Bombyx mori: one gene and its partners. The protein of the gene in region 1 purifies or fractionates together with the protein of each later gene. This does not show direct contact. Links are inferred from orthologs where the notes say so. Each region holds a gene or a part of one and is shown on either strand. Other genes may lie near its edges.

Region 1 (2,867 bases):
TTGTCCCAGCAGTCCAGCAGCGTCACGGTGTGCTGCGGGCGCTGCGGCCGGCGCGCGCGGCCCCGGGCCATGTGCGACCGCTGCCTGCCCCACCCCGACCTGTGCGCCGTGTGCCGACAGGTAACACTGTCCCCCCGACTCGAGCCCCGTGCTGACAGGTAACACTGTCCCCCGACTCGAGCCCCGTGCTGACAGGTAACACTGTCCCCTCGACTCGAGCCCCGTGCTGACAGGTAACACTGTCCCCCGACTCGAGCCCCGTGCTGACAGGTAACACTGTCCCCCGACTCGAGCCCCGTGCTGACAGGTAACACTGTCCCCCGACTCGAGCCCCGTGCTGACAGGTAACACTGTCCCCCCGACTCGAGCCCCGTGCTGACAGGTAACACTGTTCCCCGACTCGAGCCCCGTGCTGACAGGTAACACTGTCCCCCGACTCGAGCCCCGTGCTGACAGGTAACACTGTCCCCCCGACTCGAGCCCCGTGCTGACAGGTAACACTGTCCCCCGACTCGAGCCCCGTGCTGACAGGTAACACTGTCCCCCGACTCGAGCCCCGTGCTGACAGGTAACACTGTCCCCCCGACTCGAGCCCCGTGCTGAAAGGTAACACTGTCCCCCGACTCGAGCCCCGTGCTGACAGGTAACACTGTCCCCCGACTCGAGCCCCGTGCTGACAGGTAACACTGTCCCCCGACTCGAGCCCCGTGCTGACAGGTAACACTGTCCCCCCGACTCGAGCCCCGTGCTGACAGGTAACACTGTTCCCCGACTCGAGCCCCGTGCTGACAGGTAACACTGTCCCCCGACTCGAGCCCCGTGCTGACAGGTAACACTGTCCCCCGACTCGAGCCCCGTGCTGACAGGTAACACTGTCCCCCCGACTCGAGCCCCGTGCTGACAGGTAACACTGTCCCCCCGACTCGAGCCCCGTGCTGACAGGTAACACTGTCCCCCGACTCGAGCCCCGTGCTGACAGGTAACACTGTCCCCCCGACTCGAGCCCCGTGCTGACAGGTAACACTGTCCCCCCGACTCGAGCCCCGTGCTGACAGGTAACACTGTCCCCCCGACTCGAGCCCCTCTACTCTAACTGTAATTCGGCCCCCGTGGTGCGGCAGGTGGTGCGCGGGCTGTACGCGTGGTGCCAGGGCTGCTCGCACGGCGGCCACTTGGAGCACATGCGCCAGTGGATGGAGAAGCACCAGCTCTGTCCCGCCGGCTGCGGACATCACTGTCAACTAGGCTGAAGTACTCCTTACAGAAAATGTTACTCTACAAAGTTTCTTCCATCATTGTATATCTTAGTTATACATCTTTTATAAAAAGAACATTTTGATAAGAGATTTATTTTGTGTAAAGTAAATACTCTTTTGTAATATTTTTTATTTACATTTAAGCATAGTTTCTGTTAGAATAAAATCTTAAAAATATGTGTTCGTTAAATGTAACCAATCTATTGAGACCAGCAACCTAAACTAGTCCTCGTCTACATTTGTATACATGTGTGCGATCTCACTGGGCGCGAGACCTCTTGTGAGTCCGCGCGGGTAGGTAAGGGCGATACAGCCGTTGTAACTATACTTGAGACCTTAGAACTTGGTGGATGGCGCATATACGTTGTAGATGTCTATGGGCTCCAGTAACCACTTAACACCAGGTGCGTTACTCTAAGCGGGCGATGACGTGCACGCTGAGACATACACCCTCCCCCTGCGACCTCCTCTTTCAAGACGAGCTCACGGCCCCCCTGGTTTTAAGTGGTTACCGGAGCCCATAGACTTCAATAACAAAAAATGAGCACTACCGAAATTGAGACAAGAGTTCTTCAGTCTCAGTTGTATCAGTACAATTATTACAGTACGCACGTAATTACTGCTAACTACATGTGATTTTTTGTCTGTAGTGTATGCAGTACAGCCATCCCTTGTTTAAACAGACTAAAGTTATCTAACTTAAGGCTTCCATTTTAAATTACTATTTTGGGTGGCCGCCCCACTGATATAACTTACAATAATACAATATTATATTGCATACTGAAATAGCTTCTAGTGTCGCGCCGCTGCTCATTATTATATTAATGTAGACAACACTCGATCAACTCGCGCTAAATAAAATTACATTTTAAATTTTATGGGAATTTATTAATATATTTACAGATTGTACAGATGCTATGTTTTTGTATTGAATATATTTTGTGAACAAATAATAAAGAAAACAACGCAACGTATGTAATCATGGTTTTATTTAATAAGTATTCTTATTTACAAACTGTATTTTGAGTGTATCATTGACAACAAGCTGACCACAGTGATATCTTCATCGGCGGTCATAGTGTTAGGCTGTTCAGATTTATGGGAGGTCGGACAGTTAACGTTAGTAGTGGAGGTGCTCGGTGACTTAGTACCGGCCTCCACAGACCCCGCCACTCGCCTCCCCCGGCCGACCCCGGGCGGGCCGCGGGAGGCGAGTCGTGACGTCTGCGCAGTGGCTGGAAATTACTTCCTTTATAAGTTAAACTAAGATATAGAACAGCACGACGGTTTGCATCTACCTGCGTCGTCGGGGGCGGGGTCCTCCTCGGCTGCGAGACCCCTCTTCACTCGTGACATCTGTCGGATAAGGGTCAGGAACGCCTGTCAAGTAATGGCGAGTCAGTTGTCGGACCGGTCAGGTTATAATCGAATTACATGCAGTTAATTTACATTAGAAACTCTTTGTTGACAACCATAAACAAGCAGATAAGCTAAACTTAGCTACAGGGCGTAACGCTCATGTATACAGCTCGAGAAGAACACAGCGAAACGTGTCTAATTTTACACTCTAGATTGAGAAAAGCCTTTTCACCGGAAGGTTGTAACGTCGAC
Region 2 (3,661 bases), on another chromosome or scaffold:
TTGTTGTTTTGGTGCGTAGAGAGGAGATGCAAGTGACTAGGAGATGTATGGAAATGGTGTGGGGGAAGAGGTCGAACGAAGAAGACATGAATGGAGTGTGTGAATGGAAGATATGAGAGAGAGAGAGAGAGAGAGGAACGGAGTGAGTGTTGAGATGAGGACTGATAGAAGAGAATTGAATAGAACCATTCTCTTTGCCGACCCAGCGTTGTGGAGACAAAAAAGATTTTGTTTCGTTGTTGCATTTTTGAAGTTGTCGTGGCCTAAAGGATAAGAAGGTCTTCGAATACCGCAGGCAAGTACCAATTTTTCTAATGATATACGTACTTAACAAATCTTTACGATTGACTACTACAGTGAAGGAATAACATTGTGTAATAAAAATCAAACCCCAAATATTATAACTTGCGTAATTACTGGTGGTAGGACGTCTTGTGAGTCCGCACGGGTAGGTATCACCACCCTGCCTATTTTTACCGTGAAGCAGTAATGCATTTCGGTTTGAAGGGTGGGGTAGCTATTGTACTGTAAAATCAGACCTTTCGTACTCAATATATGGCTTTATTTACGTTGTAGATGTCTATGAGCTCCGGTAACCTCTTAACACCAGGTGGACCGTGGGCTCGTCCACCAACTGAAGCTATAAAAATTTTTTTTTTCATATTTTTACAGCTAGCTGCTCATGATGAAGTGAATGAGAGGAACGACAGTGAAATTAATGGTGATAATGAAGAAGAGGAAGAGAATCTCCGACATTCTGTTAGTTCTACAACATATAGTGTAGATAATGGCCTTGAGGGAGGCCCAATGTCTGCCTACCACTTAATATTACAAAGGAGTTCATTAGCTAGGTCCATGAAATCTGTCTTTGAGGAACTAAGTAGCACAGGTTAAACACTTTTCTTAAAATATAACATATCTAGACTAAATTTTACTGGTGGGCCTAGTACAATAAACTTTTGTACTAGGCCTACATGGTATTAAGTGGTTACTGGAATTGAAAAACTTCACAGTCTGAATGTTGCCCTTGAAATACCCTCGCTTTTATGATATGAGACATGTCTCGACTATATGTATAGTATAACAGCTGGTCTTCTCTTCGAACCGAAATTAATTATGGCTTTGCAGCAAATAAAAGCAGGGTGCTGGTAACCGCACAGACTCATCAGAACATGTTATGTGCGTATTGCAACGATTAATATCTGTCTGTGTAATTTGCACACCATAATGGTCAAGTCGCACTATATAAGTACACCAGACGCCCTTTCCATTTAAGTCACGACAACATCATACCTAATTAGTAACAAGTGATTCTGATAACTTGGTTTAAATACAAAAACAATTTAGATATGAAATTAGCTTTTGCTTTAATTTTCAGGCATAGTTCAAGTACGTGTAAATAAATGGGTGCTTCTATCCTTCTGTTTGCCCCACAAAGCCCATCAAATTCACAACAGAGGATTGATAATAGAACCGGAAACAATAGACAAATGTTTGCAAAAACTGAGGCCATACCACGGCATGCTACTACTTGTAAGTAATCAAATATACATACAACTTTTTTAGTGTTTATGAATATTGAAAATTTTAAACATAAAAGAAAAGTGACTTCAACAAATTAAAATGAGAATATTATCAAAATAGTAGAACACAAGTTTTTTATTTATTTTATTGCCCTTGTAGGCAGACGGGCATACAGACCACCTGATGGTGAGTGGCTACCGTCGCCCATGGAATTTAGTAATGCCAGGGGCAGAGCCAAGCCGCTGCCTACTGCTTAATACTCTTCTCAATAATGTTTTCCGTTACTACATTTGACGTTTCTAATATAAGAACTGTATCCTTGTACTAGTGAATTGTTTTGTTAATTTACTTTAAGGTGAATCCAAATGATTTGTTGGCGTCGATACCACTGGATGGCAGCTCTGCATTGCTGCGACTTATTAAACTATATAGCCCTCTAAAAAGTCTTCAAACACTGGCCATAGAAGCGGATCTGACATTCAAACAGGTATAAACAGTATAAATCCATAAATAAGTCAAAATTTTATTATTTTTAAGGTTCTTTTAGATTAAAAGGAAGTCTAAAAAGCAAGTTGGTTTAAGAAATTCAATATGAGCTAAATTTCTCATTATTTTATAATCAATAATCAAATCAATAATGTATACATATAACAGGGTTCTGTGACTATTTACTCTAACTAAACTAGTCTTATCTAGTAATTAACATACATATTGTGTACATGTCATTTGTATGTTTCAATGAATACTCTCGGAATAAAATAATTATAATTGATATAAAAGGATGCATAAGCACAATTAGCGGTTCGTGTTTTGAGTACTTAAAAGCAAAGTGATTGGTAAAAAATGATAATCACATAGTGATATGATACGGCCTTCTTCAAGGCTTAAATATAAACATGGCTGGTCGGTAATGGCTTGGTGGTGTCTGTACCGTTGCTGATGTCCATGAACGACAATGGTGACTACTCAGTATCAAGTGGGTCATAAAATCGATGCCGTTCATACCTGTACAAAAATAAAAACCAAAATTAATTACCTTTTACAACCCTTCACTTCAATTTCTATCACTTACATATTAAAACTTTAAATTAAATTTTTTAAACTGTTCTGTACCCTAAAATAATATTTGCGTAGTATTTAAAGGGACAATGAATACCAATCTTTAAATAAAAAAGTAAACCAAACTAAGCTAGCTCTATGAGCGACAATAATATTTCGTTTCAGGTTTAATTGTGTAAAATGTTTTTCGAATTATTCTAGGTCTCTCAACTAACTGGACATTTAGTGTATTGGGCTAAAGCGACGGTGATCTATCCATTGTGCGAAGGGAATGTATACGTTGTGGCCCCCGGCGCGAATATTCACATACATTCACCTCTTGTCGATGAATTCGCCAAGGAGTTTCCTGGGCTATGTTTATTGCAAGTATGAGACATTCATTATTTTCTTTACGCACTATAATTTATAAAGGAATTAAAGTATCACAAAAATATAATTGTTCAATAGAAACTTACTTATGCTCGCTCACCCTATAATGATGAAAATTGACAATAATCACAGACAAGATTTTCGATTATCGATTTTAGATTTCGATTTTAATTTTTAAACGGAATTTTAAAAACTGAATATCCCAAAAAATAATGACAATAAACCTCGACAATTGCTACTAAAACGAAAGAAAGTTTAACTGACTGACTCGGTGGTGCAGTGGTTAGTGGTCCTGACTGTTGCGCTGAGGGTCGTGGGTTCTATTCCCACATCGGGCAAACATTGTGTGATGAACAAGTTGTTGGCTCTTTGTCTGTTTGATTGTGAGTGGTTAACGTCGCCCATGAACTTTAGCAATGTCAGGGACAGAGCCAAGCCGCTGCCTACCAATTAATTACCTACTATTATTATTACATTTAAAAAAATATCTGTGTTTAGTCATTTTATTTACGTTATTTCTGTATTTGCAGATGCTCAGTGAGTTCTCTCTGCCGGCTCCGCTGTGGTACATATCGCGGAGCGCGGGCGGCGGGTGCGGGGGCTCGGCGCGGCTGGCCCGCTGCGTGGCGTGGCTGTTGCAACGCAGACTCTTGCTGCAGCTCCATACGTACGTGCAGTTCAATTCGCCGCATTGGGGACGTGATGCAGG
Region 3 (3,724 bases), on another chromosome or scaffold:
TCTCCAATAAACGATATATGCTGGAATTGGTGGGAGATTCTCAGACCAAATGCCGTTTCTGAGGCTTTTTGCTTGTGCTTCTGCTGATAATAGAGCAGGGGCAATTTGTGACTCAATGGTATTCTTTTTTAATTCTTTAGGAAATGATGCTTTTGCAAATCCAAGCTCCACCAATTTTTTACCAATATCCAATGTTTGAACATCTTTACTCTGAAATGGAAAACATTTTTGAAGAGTAATTTTTAATAATTTAAGGTATTTTGTTGAATTTGTTTAAATTGAAATATACCTTAGGCTGAGGTAAATGCAATAATACAGTAGAAACTAGATCATCATTATCTCTTCCGATTGGCTTTAATGTCACTTGCTGGCCCCTAGCAACACATTCCAGCCAATTGACTGCATTCCCACTAACTACTTCAATTCCCCACAGCTAAAACAAAACAAAAAGAAAATATTTTTATTACTTTGTAGGTAAATTTTCGTACAAGTTATATTTTTATCACATTTACCTTAACTGGTAGTGGAGGTTTACTGGAATGCCATAGCGGTAAATATATTGGGGCTTTGTGATTGACCAGAACACGAACTGGTGAATGTTGCACTCCAGCATATAATCCTTTCAAAGGTTCATGATTTCTGATGAAATGATCTGGAACTTTACTGGCTTTCGAAAACTTGCTAACCTATCGAAGTAATTTTATTATTTATAGTTATGTAATTATTAATATAGGGTTTTTTAAACAAATACTTACAGGGCGAATCTTATGAACAGATATGGCGAGACCAGCGGTGGCTAGAGCATATACTGCTATCTGTAAACAACAATCAGATGATAGTGCTTCGTTTACAAAGTTATTATTATCAACATCAACTTGTAATTATCTACATACGTTAACCCCGCGATAATCTTGTTGTAATAAATATTGCATGTTGTAAAATATTCCTCCTTCTTTTTGAGACATTTTGATGTCTACAGATACGAAATTCTCATAATTTCTTAAACTTTCGTAAATTAGCTCATCAATATTTTCAATCCAATTCTGAATTTAGATGAATGAGAGAAAAAACAGCTTCAGACTTGTCAGAATTTTTGTTTGATTCTACTAGAGCTCTTTATTATCTTTGGTTAACTACCAAATGTAACCTGACACAGTGTTTAATCTTTGGTTATTACTTACATAAAGCATAGATTTTTTAATTTTTTTGAGGCCTAGTCTTGATATGTCAATAAAAGTATCTTCATACAGTTTAGGTTTAGCTATAAATATAAATGCTTAAAACTTTTGGGAGATACTTCATAAGTAACGCGCAAAAAGTAATAAAGAAATAAATAACTTAACCAAAGATTGTGCTAACCTAAGGTTAACAAATAATACCAAAGAGGTAATTTATGACCTCTAACACACGAGCGGCATTCTGGCACTAAAATATTTGTGCTTTTTTGTAGACTGTGTTGGAGCTATGTGATCAATAATCTCGAATCATCAAGAAAATCTCTAGCTTCCATAACAAAATTGATAAAAAGAATAATTCAGTTGTAGCGTCGCGTATGTTGAAGCTGCAATTTAATTCTGCCACTTTTTATTATTATATTGTTAAACTTACCTAATAAGTTTAGAGGTGACGCACTGCGACTGTCTTTGCAATGTCGAAATAGCTCGTGTGGATGGATACAAAATATTTTACTGGTAGCACTGTTGAAATTCCACGTCAACTGATTTGACAGTTGATTGCCCATTTTCCGTTGTGTATTGTGTAGGTTAATAAAAATATATAATAATGATCACTGTTTTGAATACTATTGATACCGGCCATGAAGATATGATACACGACGCCGAACTGGATTATTACGGACTAAAACTAGCTACATGTTCTTCGGATAATTCAGTGAAAATATACGACATTAAGAATGGTACACAAACATTGGCTGCTGATTTGAAGGGTCATTTTGGCCCCGTGTGGCAGGTAGCTTGGGCTCATCCCAAGTATGGGAACCTATTAGCGTCATGCTCTTATGACAGGAAAGTTATCATATGGAAAGAGTCTGGAGAGTGGACTAAACTATACGAATACACTGGACACGAAAGCTCTGTGAACTCTGTTGCGTGGGCGCCGGCTGAGTACGGCTTAATCCTCGCTTGTTGTAGTTCAGATGGCTCAATCTCTATCATACAATATTCACAAGATACTGGTAATTGGGACGTAAAAAAGATAACGGGTGCACATGCCATTGGTGTTAATTCTATTAGTTGGTGCCCAGCTTTATCTGCAGATTTGAACTTAGATCCGCTTACCAATAAAGATGCTCCAAAGAGATTAGTTACTGGAGGGTGTGATAATTTAATCAAGGTATGTTACAAGTTGTGTTTAATTGTTTACTGACTCTGTATTACAGTAGTTAGCACTCCTAACTGTTGCGCCACAGAGAATCCTGATTTGGGGCCAGATGAATGTGTGTGATTTATTCCGGGTTATTTATTTATAAGGCAAAAAAAGAAGGCAGCAATTTTTCTTTTCACAATATCATATATTGCATGCATTAGTTAATTTTAAATGAAAATAGATATATTTCAACAATAATTAGTTGAATTTTTTTAATATATCTACCTAAAATTACCTTGTCCTTTATTATCGATATGTTCTTAATAAACCCTGTATTTAATGATTACTATTTAATGACATCATAATGCTTCTTAATTATAATTTTTTTAGTTAGTTATTCCGGTTGTTGTTTTCAGATTTGGAGAGAGCAAGGTGATCAATGGGTTGAAGAGAACAGATTAGAGTTGCACATTGATTGGGTCAGAGATGTAGCGTGGGCACCCTCTCTGGGATTACAACGTTCCATGATTGCCAGCTGCTCCCAAGACAAGAGGGTTGTCATATGGTCTAGTGATGATAATGTATCTTGGACACCAACAATATTAAACACATTTGATGATGTAGTATGGAGTGTTAGCTGGTCTCTCACTGGCAACATCTTGGCTGTATCAGGAGGAGATAACAAAGTCAGCCTTTGGCGTGAGAGCACTGATGGCCAGTGGTTATGTATTAGTGAAGTTGCCAAAGGTTTGGGCCAAACACCCAATGATGAAAGAAGCACACTTTGAATTTGCTTTTAATTTCATTTGTTAATTTTGTAATCTGCTAATAGTAATATAAAATATGTACATTAACACTGATCTTTTATAAACTTCATCAAAACCCAGATTTAATCTATATATTCAATTTGATAATCCAATAATTGGGTTGTGACATATCTAACAGGTTTTAAATAAATTGCTATGATTATTATTACTGTATGTATTGAACATGGGCTGAGGAGATGAAGTCACTATTGTCAATGTACACAATAATTTTCAATTTGATAGTATATTTTATAGAATTTAAAGAGATATTTTTAGTTTAAAGAGAAAAGTTCACATGTATACTTGACATGGAAATAAAAATTAGAGAAATGTACTTTTCACCTTGGAAAGTATGTTGCCATATGTCGCCAGAATAACTAGAATAGGTAAAAATATTTGGGTTCTTGTCTTAATTGTTTGTGACAATAGAAATAAAACAAAGGGACATAATATATATAAAAAAAATTATACTTAAAATACAAACTATCACATGTTTTTAAGATTAAAGTCAATTTGTTCTAACAATAATGGCATCTGATAATATTCGGCTATTGTCTTAAAAGTCATTAGTTGGTCTTTGATCTCTGTTACGG

What was found.
Region 2: the proteins of GATOR2 complex protein WDR24 (region 1) and GATOR complex protein NPRL3 purify together in Homo sapiens (affinity purification with western blotting; 6 studies listed by BioGRID and IntAct, with this or other methods). This does not show direct contact. The link is inferred for Bombyx mori from reciprocal best matches to the Homo sapiens genes WDR24 and NPRL3.
Region 3: the proteins of GATOR2 complex protein WDR24 (region 1) and protein SEC13 homolog purify together in Homo sapiens (affinity purification with mass spectrometry; 5 studies listed by BioGRID and IntAct, counting the BioPlex papers as one, with this or other methods). This does not show direct contact. The link is inferred for Bombyx mori from reciprocal best matches to the Homo sapiens genes WDR24 and SEC13.

What each region holds. Positions count from the first base shown.
Region 1 is NC_085114.1:15,877,649-15,880,515, reverse strand, and holds the end of GATOR2 complex protein WDR24, read left to right. Parts: coding exon 1-120; intron 121-1,121; coding exon 1,122-1,250; 3' UTR 1,251-2,230; downstream 2,231-2,867. UniProt on the Homo sapiens protein: Catalytic component of the GATOR2 complex, a multiprotein complex that acts as an activator of the amino acid-sensing branch of the mTORC1 signaling pathway. The GATOR2 complex indirectly activates mTORC1 through the inhibition of the GATOR1 subcomplex.
Region 2 is NC_085124.1:9,506,789-9,510,449, reverse strand, and holds part of GATOR complex protein NPRL3, read left to right. Parts: intron 1-672; coding exon 673-889; intron 890-1,378; coding exon 1,379-1,533; intron 1,534-1,879; coding exon 1,880-2,011; intron 2,012-2,784; coding exon 2,785-2,949; intron 2,950-3,482; coding exon 3,483-3,660; intron 3,661-3,661. UniProt on the Homo sapiens protein: As a component of the GATOR1 complex functions as an inhibitor of the amino acid-sensing branch of the mTORC1 pathway.
Region 3 is NC_085131.1:3,993,707-3,997,430, reverse strand, and holds protein SEC13 homolog, read left to right. Parts: upstream 1-965; 5' UTR 966-1,782; coding exon 1,783-2,352; intron 2,353-2,741; coding exon 2,742-3,113; 3' UTR 3,114-3,179; downstream 3,180-3,724. Other genes in the region: uncharacterized protein LOC101741756, read right to left, coding at 1-210, 290-433, 513-686, 756-815, 894-965; DNA polymerase epsilon catalytic subunit 1, read right to left, coding at 3,618-3,724. UniProt on the Homo sapiens protein: Functions as a component of the nuclear pore complex (NPC) and the COPII coat. At the endoplasmic reticulum, SEC13 is involved in the biogenesis of COPII-coated vesicles.